3 linked regions of the Oryctolagus cuniculus genome follow. The protein of the gene in region 1 purifies or fractionates together with the protein of each later gene. This does not show direct contact. Links are inferred from orthologs where the notes say so. Each region holds a gene or a part of one and is shown in the gene's direction. Other genes may lie near its edges. The genes, in order: CUEDC1, SMURF2 and TOM1.

Region 1 (3,645 bases):
CGGGAGCCCCCTCCACTGACAGGAATGTGGTCCTTTTCCAGATCGATTGAAATACGAGTCCCAGAGATCCAAATCTAGCAGTGTGGCTGCGGGAGGCGACTTTGGCTTTCCCTCTTCTGTCCCAGGTAAACTTGCCTACCTTCAGAGGACCTGGGGACACAGGGGCTCACACCCCATTCTTCTTCACACAGTCGCGGTTTATGGGGTAGGGTGAGGACACAAATGAGGCTGGGGTCCTGGGCCCCTAAGCAGGGGAGTCTGGGGGGTCCACTGAGCAGCCGGGGTTCTCACCAGCGCAGGAGCGGCGGGGACTTGGGCGCCCACAGTACAATCCACAGGCTGTGCCCAGAGCATGGCTGCAAGGGGACACGCTGCACCGCGTGCTGGGGCTTGGGGATGGGAAGCACTCAGAGACTTACGGGGCTCGCTTTCTGCCCTGGGGGAGCTTACACTGGAGCACGGGGAGGGGAGGGCAGGGTTAGTCTGGGCAGGGCTCATTTGTTCATTCATTTACTTATCAAAGAGCTGGGGAGCAGCTGTGAGGTGCCGGTCCTGCCCTAGGTGTCAGGGGAAGGGGCATTTCAAGCTTCGTGCACAAAGGTAGTGAGAATCAAGAATTGCCTGAAGAGGGCCGGGCTCCTTCGCTCAGGGGCCCTCACTGTGGGAGGAAGGGGTGGGCCGTGCTGCCATTGGGGTGCACGGACTGGAGGGGCATGGGGTACACTCGGCAGGTGGCACAGGGCAGCTGGTCAGTCAGTGCCCACCTCAGAGAGAGGCTCAGCAGCTTTTGCCTGGGACAGTCCTTACGTGCTATGGTGAGTGGGGAGACAGAAGGGTGGGGACCTCGGTGGATCCTAGCTCCGAGAAAGAAAACACTGGGGGAGCTGATTTAAGCAGCAGACTGGAGGCTTAGGCCCAGCAGAGGCGCATCTGGGAGTTTTAATGGGAGCCTCTTGTCCTTGATCCCGAATTAACTCGGGGCGTTGGGCTGCTGAGATGGATCCCAGTGACTCAGCGGGGACTTAGCAGGCAAGGTGACTTGGGCTTAGCCAGGCTGCAGGGGCAGAGCAGTGAGTTAGGAGGGCAGAGACAAACCCCAGCAGGCGAGGGACAGAGAAACCCTGAGCCAGCCAGGGCGACCCTGGCTGGAGCTGGGCCCTGACTCTTGGCCAGGCCCCTTCTGGTTCCTACTCCTCGTCTGTGTGTGGAGGGAGTGATGTAGGGGCTGGCCCTGGAGGGAGGAGCCAGTCACCCTGACCCACTCTCCCCTGCTGCCCTCCAGGATGCTCAGGTGTAGGGAAGCCCCGGGCGTAGCTCCTGTTGACCTCCACGGCATAAATGCTCGCCTCATGGCCAACGTGAGCCCCCAGCCTGACTATGCCGGCGGCCACGGCAGGCCTTTGTGTGCTGCATGCCTGGCACCAGAGCCCGCAGGGAACCCGGAGCTCTCCTTGCTGTGGACTCCCAGCCAGGGAAGGGCCTTCCCGGATGGAAGGATGGGGCCGGGACAGCCCCGACCCTCCTCCCCTCCGAAGACCCCAGCCCTTAGTCGGTGTCTCCGCCTTCAGGAAACAGTGATGCCAACCCTGCCGTGTCCGAAGATGCCTTATTCAGGGACAAGTTGAAACACATGGGAAAATGTGAGTCCAGCCCGTGGCCCCTGCCTGTTCCAGCGTTGCCCCGAATTTTTAACACAAACGGCCCGAAAGGAGAGAGGGAGCCACCCCCAATTTTTAACATGGCTGACTCCTGATGAACCCAAATGACATTTTAATCACAGGCTGGCTCCCTCGGCCTTCCTGCCTCACTTCTGTGTTCAGCTGAGTCTGGATACAAATTAAGTTTTAAATCCTCTCCAGCCAGCTGTCCGCAAGGAAATCACACTCCATGCATCCTCTGGCCCCAGGGTCAGCGTTCTTGCTCGCTGTGGCCTGGCCGGGCCTGCCCAAGCTCTTCTATGGGGCCCCAGGGACCTCTTGCTACCAAGCCCTGCCAGCCCGGAGCACCCCCTCCTGGCCATGGCAGACCGGGGGCGGGGGGGGGGGGGACAGGGCTGTCACTCGCCCCTTCCCTCTGCTTCAGGGAAAATCTCGGATTAGTCCTGGAAATCCCAGCACCAGCTCGGGAGGCAGCTGGGGGAGGGGCCACGGCCTGCGGCAGCTGGGGAAGGAATACCCGGATCCTGGGCTGCCGGCTGGCCTCGGCCCGGGCTCGCCCTGGCCTCTGCTGCCCCTGCAGGCCGACCTAGCCAGCAGCTGTACTCCAGAGGCTGCCCCCTCCTCTGCCATCCTTGTCACCTCCCCCTCCCTCCCAGGGAGGCCATCTGGCGCTCCGGCTGCCCAGCGAGGGGCTCACAGGTCTCTCTGTCCCCAGCCACCCGCAGGAAGCTGTTTGAGCTTGCCCGGGCCTTCTCCGAGAAGACCAAGATGAGGAAGTCGAAGAGGAAACACTTGTTGAAGCATCAGTCGTATCCTTTCCTCCTGGCACCGGCCTGGGGCAGGGCACGTCCGGCTGCACTCCTGAGGCTGGGCCTCCCACAGTGGGGGGACCCGGCTCCGTGGCCTCCCCATCCCCTGAGCCAGGCTGCCAGCTCGTGCCTGTCTCCCAGTGCCAGTCTGCAGCTCCAGCGGCTCCTGTCTTCCTTCTGCAAGAAAAATGGTTTCTTCGCCATCCGCAAACCTTCTCCTGATTTCTTTTTTTTTTTTTTTTTACAGATTTATTTATTTATTTGAAAGTCAGAGTTACACAGAGAAGGAGGGGCAGAGAGAGAGGGAGAGAGAGGTCTTTCATCTGCTGGTTCATTCCCCAGATGGCTGCAACAGCTGGAGCTGAGCTGATCCAAAGCCAGGGGCCAAAAGCTTCTTCCGGGTCTCTCATGTGAATGCAGGGGCCCAAGGACCTGGGCCATCTTCCACTGCTTTCCCAGGCCATAGCAGAGAGCTGGATCGGAAGTGGAGCAGCCGGGACTTGAACCGGCGCCCCTTTACCCGCTACGCCACAGCGCCGACCCCTCCTGATTTCTGCATCTGTGCTGCCCCACGATGCTCCTGCCTCCCCACTCTCCGCAAGCAGCAAGAAGGGCTGCCACACTTTCACTCAGATGCCCAGCCCACGTGTCCGACAGGGCCCAGGGTGGTGGGAGCCCGCAGGCAAAGGGGAACAGGGAGAAAGGTGCTTCTCAGTCCCCAGAGGTGGGGCACGGTGACCCCAAGGGAGGGCACCCGGGGCCTGGTATTGGGGGCAGGTGGGTGCGGTGGGAGCCTCCTGGGCTTGCAGGGGTGGGACTGAGTGGACCACAGCAGTGGGCCCCCAACCCCCCTACTCCCGGGACAATTTTCCTGAGCGGCTCTGCAGGCTGGGGGCTGCGGCGTCAACGGCCAACCTCCTGGACGACGTGGAGGGCCACTGCTGCGGTGAGGCTGGCCAGGAATCTTCAGCCCCGGTTTGCCTGTGATTGGGGCGCCTCCGAGAGGGGGTGCTGGGTGTTGCGTGGGTGGACCCACCCTGACCGGAAGGGAGCACCCGGCCCAGGGGTTGGTGCAAGGACCCGTGTGGACTCCCCCTTCCTATTGGCCCTGGAATGGCGCCCCGGCCCCACCTCCACCTCAGTCACTGCCTGCAGCACACGGTGCGAGGGTGTTTCTG
Region 2 (3,645 bases), about 19 Mb from region 1:
GACGGGGCTGATATGGGATGCCTGCGTCACAGAAGTGGCTTAACCCAGGCAGCAGCTTAACGCCAGCCCTTATGTATTGTTTTTAAAATTACTATATATGATGATGTCTTCAGTGTAATGCAGGTTCTCTCACAATCCTGCATGTGTTAGAATAGCAAATTCCTGCCTCCATTGCTTTTAATGAAGTGATTGCTAGAACAATGCTTATCAAAAAACTAATGCTGTTTAAGGTAAGAACCAATGTCGGCCGGTGCCGCAGCTCACTAGGCTAATCTTCCACCTTGCGGCGCTGGCACACCGGGTTCTAGTCTCGGTCGGGGCACCAGATTCTGTCCCGGTTGCCCCTCTTCCAGGCCAGCTCTCTGCTGTGGCCCGGGAAGGCAGTGGAGGATGGCCCAAGTGCTTGGGCCCTGCACCCCATGGGAGACCAGGAGAAGTACCTGGCTCCTGCCATCGGATCAGCGCGGTGCACCAGCCGCAGCGCGCCGGTCACAGCGGCCATTGGAGGGTGAGCCAACGGCAAAAGGAAGACCTTTCTCTCTGTCTCTCTCTCTCACTGTCCACTCTGTCAAAAAAAAAAAAAAAAAAGTCATTTGCAGGAATTCAGTTTATGAAAATAAAATAGCAATATTTTTTTACAAAGTATACAGGTTGCTTTCTTATTGGGGGTCCTCAGGCTTTTGGTCTCTTGGGGTACCCAGATTGAGTAGGATCTGTTATCTCAGCTCCAGACATAATTTTCCTGTGTTGGTCATTCTAGCCTAGCCTAGCTTTGACCAGAACTCTTCCTCATTATTCAGAAAGTGAAATGCTTCTGATGTGTATGAAGGTTAAAGCTCTGACTTTTCTGCTTAAGAATTAGGTGATGTGGAAGCGTAGGAGCTAATGAGAGGAGTCTGACCTTAATTTGTCCTGTCATGGAACTGTCGTATTTTTATCTCTAACAATTAATATACTTAACAGACTGTATTTTAGGTTTGCTAATTATGTATCCTTTTCTCTTGCCTACCTAGTGAAAATGATATTACAGGTGTTTTGGACCATACCTTCTGTGTTGAACATAATGCATATGGTGAAATTATTCAGCATGAACTTAAGCCAAATGGCAAAAGTATACCTGTTACTGAAGAAAATAAAAAAGAATATGTCAGGTAAATAGTTTTATGTTATCAAGGATGAGATTTTTTTAATATAGAATGGCAGTGTAAAAAACATTTAAGCATTTAGGTAGTATTATTTATTGCTACAGAATAAGTTTCCACAGAATTTAGTGACTTAAAAATCACCACTGTCTTATTTCTTACAATTCCAGGGTTCGACTAGTTTGGGCAGAGAACAGGGATGGATGGCACACTGCTATTCCATAGATGTCAGCCAGGACTGAGAGGCCAGGATGGCCTCTTTGCTGACATATGTGAGACCTCAGTTTGGCTCAAATGGCTGAGGGTTCAGACAGTAATAATTGCCTTCCAACTACAAGTGTGCAAAAAAAAAAAAAAAAAAAAAAAAAAACAAAACAAAGAAAAACTTCTACAGTGCAGTTTTGCTGCCCCCTTAAACCAACCAACAAAAACAAAACAAAAAAGGTCTTGCAGAGGATGCAATGTTAAACTTACTTCTTAAAGTAGGGAACTCTTTCTCCTAGTTTAGAAAAGGGAATGTAAATAACAAATTTGACAGATGAGTAGTTCCAAGATGTGGGGACAGATAGATAAAGCAGTGCACATATGATTACAGGTCCCAGTTAAAAGCACAATGTTACACGACAGAGGTAGTTCAATGTGCTTCTTGTTGGGAACACACTTGTTCCAGAGTTTTTACAGTCTCCAGGAAACGATGAGTAGTTAATCAAACGGTGCTTACTATTATTGGCTCTTACTATTTATTCTCATTTTTGTTATGAGTACTCTACCTCCTTTTCCCTCAAACTTCCCCCAGACATAAACAAAATACCCACCATTCAGTTATATTTTCAAGTAAAACCAGAAAGATGATCTTTTTTGAATGAATGAGCTCTGTTCTGGTTGTTGGTGTATATGCTTAAGTTTATAAAAACATTTTATCAAGATTTTAACTTTAGACCCTAAAGTTTATTAGGAGTTTCCCAGATTTGATGCTGCCCTTGGTAATGCAAGGTTACAACTTTTTATCTACATTGGACCTGCCTCACAGTTAGGTATGCATTTAGCTCCTTAGTCTAAGATTCTTTTAGACTTTAGACTAAATTCTTATGCTAGATGCTTGTACAGTGCACTGTTGCTTGAGGGAGAGATTCATAGTTATTAGCAAATCTGAATATATATGGTCCTGTGAAACCCTTACCCCATCTTACAGGCTGTATGTGAACTGGAGATTTTTACGAGGCATTGAGGCTCAATTCCTGGCTCTACAGAAAGGATTTAATGAAGTCATTCCACAGCATCTGCTGAAGACATTTGATGAAAAGGAGTTAGAGGTCAGTGCGTTAATATTATGACAACATCTAGTGCAACAAGAAAGAGTGGCTGTTATTCTCTTAGCTTTAAAGGAAAGTTGTGTTTCTGATGCTTTTGAAATTTTGTTTTCAGTGCTGTGAGAATTCTTAGTTGTAAGAAATGTCATTTCATTCTTTGGAATTTCTGAGTGAGCAATCTCTTGTGAATTGTGAATATTCTTATTTAAAGATTTATTTATCTGAAAGTCAGAGAGAGAGATTGGAGAGACATAGAAGTCTTGTATCTGCTGGTTCATTTCTCAAATGGCCACAATGACCCAAGGATGGGCCAGGCTGAAGCCAAGAGCCAGGAGCTTCTTCCAGGTCTCCCATGTAGGTGCAAAGGCCCAACCACTTAGGCCATCCTCCACTACTTTACCAGGCACATTATCAGGGAGCTGGATCGGAAGTGGGCAAGCCAGGGCTCAAACTGGCACCTGTATAGGATGCTGGCACTGCAGGTAGCAGTTTTACCCACTGTGCCACTGCGCCTGCCCCAGTCTGCAAATAATTTAACACATGACTGTATTCTTTTTTTTTTTTTTTTTTGACAGGCAGAGTTAGAGAGAGAGAGACAGAGAGAAAGTCTTCCTTCTGTTGGTTCACCCCCAAAATGGCTGCCCTGCCAGGAGCCAGGTGCTTCCTCCTGGTCTCCCATGCAGGTGCAGGGCCCAAGCACTTGGGCCATCCTCCATTGCACTCCCGGGCTACAGCAGAGAGCTGGACTGAAAGAGGAACAACTGGGACAGAACCAGCGCCCCAACCGGGACTAGAACCCGGAGTACCGGTGCTGCAGGCTGGAGGATTAGCCTAGTGAGCCACGATGCCAGCCCACATGACTATATTCTTTTAACTTTAATGTATGTCCTTTCTAACTAAATCTGTTAACTGCTCTGCTAGCAAACAAATCTAATAGCATAGGGTTGACTCATCGTATCCTCATCTTTTATGATTGAATTATTATTCGTGAAATGGCCAGAGGGAAGTAGTCAGAAGGAGGAGGAGAACATAGCAGGAATGTCATCTGTTTTTCATCTGTTTATACAATGAATGAGGAATTTGGCCTTGTAATTGCCACTCCTCTAAGGAAAAGAATTTAGGAGGTATCTTTTGTGTTAGAAATATGCCCATAATCTTTTTTGGATAATATCCTCTCTGCAAGTATGGCTTAG
Region 3 (3,645 bases), on another chromosome or scaffold:
TCTGCAACCACGATTCGGGTCCAGAGGTGTGAAGTTCAAGGTCATGGCAGGTGTGCAGTGTGCCCCTGGGTGGCGCCACCGTGTGCAGCCCCTCTAAGCAGCAGCCTGTGTGCAGCCGCTCCCTCAGACAAGCAGAGGCAGAGACTCTGGCCCTGGGAGGTGGCGCCGGGTGTGCTTCTGCACTCTGGGCAGGAACCACATCAGGGACTCCCTCCTGCTGTCTGTGGGCAAGAACGGACTCCATCTCCCTACGGTTTGAAACCAGGGGGCCGCAGGAGGCATGAACGTGAAGCAGGATGGAAAGGCCGGTCGTGCGGGCGTCTCTGGTGCGGGTCAGGACGTTGTCCAGCTCAGAGCCGGGGAGTCAAGGCTTGTAACGCGGAGGGAGGTCTGGGGGCGTGGCTTCAGATCTCTGACCCCGTGTCACTGACCTGTTGTGACCGTGGACAAGTCACTTCGCCTCTCTGAAGCTCTGTGAGGCCCTTCCACCTGCAGCCCAGGTCCCTGGTGGGAGCTGAAAGGGGATGTGTGGTGGTCATCGTCTCAGCACAGCTGGGGGCGGGGGGCGGCACTGCCAGAGCAAGTGCTGCTGGTAAGTGAGGGTCAACGATCGGCAAGGACCTGTTCCCACGCCATACCTCACTGGGATAACCCACTTCCCCGCCCCACCCGTCCCTCTCAGGCAGGTGGGGGCACAGGCAGAAGAGGGCCAAGGCTGGTAGGCGCCTTCCAGCGCTTTCCTCAGCCGCTCTCGGGGCCGGCCCTGGAGCTGGGGTTGGGGGCACTCACACCCATGTCTGCACTCATCAGCTGAGGGTGGGGATGGGCGTGGTGGGCAGAGGGCAGCGCCCCCACAATGAAGGTGGCAGCAGGAAGGAGGCCACAGCAGGAGGTGACACATAGTAGGGAGTGCCGGACACGTGGCAGGCCCACAGCAGCAGCCCCCGGGCCAGGCCTGGCTCCGCGGGGAGTGTGGCCCTTTCCTCCAGGGCCCTCTGCAAGAAGTGGGAATGCATCCCCATAGAACACCAAGACGCCCCCAGGCCGGCGGTCAGGCCAAGAGCAGAAAGCTACTCCAGAGTGCACTGGGCTAGAAACTTCTCTCATGCTCTGGGCCCGGCTGCCGCCCGCCTGGAGCAGCATCCCCTGCCCTGCCCTGGCTCTCTGGCAGCCCTGACCAGGCGCATGGCTCTGACCCCGCTGCGGGATCCACTCCTGCCTGGGGCCGGGCCGGCCTCCAGACACCCCTGACTTAGCCGGTGGCAGCAGAAGCAGGACGGCCCCCTCGGCCACTCATCTGCCCGGGGACGTGCAGCCCGTGCTCCTGCCACAGGCGGGCGCCACAGGGGAGGTGTCCAAGGGGGCTGCCCGCCCGGAGGCTCCACATACACGGCCGTGCCCACCGCCGTACACCCCAGGGATGCTGGGAACCTGGGGCAGCGCCGCGGAGGGTGGGTTTCAGCTGGGCCCCAGGCTGTGGGCGTGGGCGTGAGAAGCCTTTGTGGTGAGGGTGAGGGTGTGAGCAAAGGCCGTTAGGCAGGCGAGCGTCCCTGGTCATACCTGTGCAGGGTGGGGGTAGAGGTGGCGGTGGAGTTATGGAAGGGACAGAGAGCAGGTGGCCTCTCACTGCCCTTACATGAATCCACCTTCCCTCCCCTCCCCCCACGCAGTCCAAGGCACTAAGCTCCTCCCGCCCCAGGGCCTCCGCCCCTGCTCTTGCCCTCCCCCACTGTTCCATCACCTCACATGGGATCCGCCACTGCAGAGGTCTCCCCCAGCCCCTCCTCCCCCAGCCCCTGGGTCTCCCCAGAACACGAGATCCCTGGAAGTGGCGTGCTTGGTGCTGTTCGTGTCCCCATACCTAGTGTGCTGCCCTGAACATGGGGGAGCTTAAGCCAAGTGGAGGCCAGGCAGGTGGGCGGACAGAGCACGGGAGGACAGGCCAGCGGGGCCAGCGCAGCCCGGCAGGGCCTCCCGCGCTCAGGCTAGCAGCCCTGCGCTGGGCTGGGAGGCTCCGCCCCAAGCCATCCGTCCTTCCGTCCTTCCCAGCCCCAAGGATGCCTTCCGAGCAGTGAAGAAGAGAATCGTGGGCAATAAGAACTTCCACGAGGTGATGCTGGCTCTCACGGTGAGTGCCCCATCCGTCTGTCCATCTGTCCGTTCATCCTGAGCCAGGACCTCAGGCCTGGGGGTCTCCTGCCCACCTGGGGCTGGGAAGGAAATGTCCACAGGCAAAGCTGTCTCCTGTGAGCAGTGCAGGTGCACGCGGATGGCGGGAGAGTTCTGCGGCGGGGGCACTGAGGCCACTGGGGCACATGCCCATGACGTAACAGTCTGGTACACCAGGCTTCCTGGGACACAAAGCCAGGCAGGCCACCCTGGGTGCTGCTCGGCTCCTGGACACCATGGAAGTGAACATGAAACAAATGCCAGTGGCTGAGAACAGCCTTGCCCACAGCCCCGAAGCAGTCCAGGGTGCCGAGCTAGCCGGGCGTGCCCGGCAGCCTGGCTTCAGGATGGGCCTGGCGGGGCGGGGCGAGGGGAGCGCTCTGTCCCCGTGGCTCTGCCTGCAGGGAACAGCCCCAGCAGCTCCTGCCGGGAAGTGGGGGCAGAGATTGGAGAAGGACTTTAGCCTGCTTGTCCTCAGGCCTCAGTGTCGCCAGGTGACAGACAGCTCAGGTGCCCTTTGATTTCCTCCTGGAGAGCCACCGTGTCTTGACCGTGTTCAGCTGGGAGGGGCATCAGGATGCTGCTGACACCAGTGCATTCCAGGCAGCAGCCCCCTCCACCCCGCCCCTCCGCAGCCACACCCAGAAAGGAAGCCCCCACGTCCCAGCGTTGTCCCCAGTTCTGCACGTTGTAGGACCTCGTTATAGGAAGTCCCACCTCCTCCGCTCGGCCTTCCTGTGGCACGGGGTAGGAGCTGGGAGAGTGCAGGGCCTGGGCCCCCCGCCCCGCCACGGTCTGGGGCGCTCAGTGGCACCCTGCGACCCTCCAGGTCCTGGAAACCTGCGTCAAGAACTGCGGGCACCGCTTCCACGTGCTGGTGGCCAGCCAGGACTTCGTGGAGGGCGTGCTGGTGCGCACCATCCTGCCCAAGAACAACCCCCCCACCATCGTGCACGACAAGGTGCTCAACCTCATCCAAGTGAGTGCCAGCGCGAGGGGGCGGGGCGGGGAGGCAGCCAGGGAGGGAGGCGCCCCTGCCACGTGTCTGCCCCAGGCTGTCGTTCTCACCTTTGGGCAGCCCAGCCGTTAGCCGATGTGCGTGGGGAGAGGCCTTGCTGTGGAGTGGGCTGGGCAAAGGTGGGACCAGCGTGTCCGGGAGGAAAGTTCTCGTGCCAGGTGCCAGGGCAGGCAGGCTGGCAGGGGAGAAAGCGAGCAGTGGTTACTGGCCGTGTCCCCTTGTCCCCTCTCAGTCCTGGGCTGACGCGTTCCGCAGCTCGCCCGATTTGACAGGTGTTGTCACCGTGTACGAGGACCTGCGCAGGAAGGGCCTGGAGTTTCCCATGACCGACCTGGACATGCTGTCGCCCATCCACACGCCGCAGAGGGTGAGCAGCCAGCCCGCGGGGCTCTGACCCTGACCTTGCCCGGAGGCCTCGCTGACGCTGCTTCTCACCCTCTAGACCGTGTTCAACTCCG

What was found.
Region 2: the proteins of CUEDC1 (region 1) and SMURF2 purify together in Homo sapiens (co-immunoprecipitation; 3 studies listed by BioGRID and IntAct, with this or other methods). This does not show direct contact. The link is inferred for Oryctolagus cuniculus from reciprocal best matches to the Homo sapiens genes CUEDC1 and SMURF2.
Region 3: the proteins of CUEDC1 (region 1) and TOM1 purify together in Homo sapiens (co-immunoprecipitation; 3 studies listed by BioGRID and IntAct, with this or other methods). This does not show direct contact. The link is inferred for Oryctolagus cuniculus from reciprocal best matches to the Homo sapiens genes CUEDC1 and TOM1.

The regions. Positions count from the first base shown.
Region 1 is NC_091448.1:33,327,214-33,330,858, reverse strand, and holds part of CUEDC1 (CUE domain-containing protein 1), read left to right. Parts: intron 1-41; coding exon 42-125; intron 126-1,568; coding exon 1,569-1,640; intron 1,641-2,373; coding exon 2,374-2,467; intron 2,468-3,354; coding exon 3,355-3,413; intron 3,414-3,645.
Region 2 is NC_091448.1:14,182,123-14,185,767, forward strand, and holds part of SMURF2 (E3 ubiquitin-protein ligase SMURF2), read left to right. Parts: intron 1-1,013; coding exon 1,014-1,151; intron 1,152-2,334; coding exon 2,335-2,455; intron 2,456-3,645. UniProt on the Homo sapiens protein: E3 ubiquitin-protein ligase which accepts ubiquitin from an E2 ubiquitin-conjugating enzyme in the form of a thioester and then directly transfers the ubiquitin to targeted substrates.
Region 3 is NC_091442.1:112,909,715-112,913,359, forward strand, and holds part of TOM1 (target of Myb1 membrane trafficking protein), read left to right. Parts: intron 1-2,049; coding exon 2,050-2,128; intron 2,129-2,998; coding exon 2,999-3,148; intron 3,149-3,419; coding exon 3,420-3,554; intron 3,555-3,629; coding exon 3,630-3,645.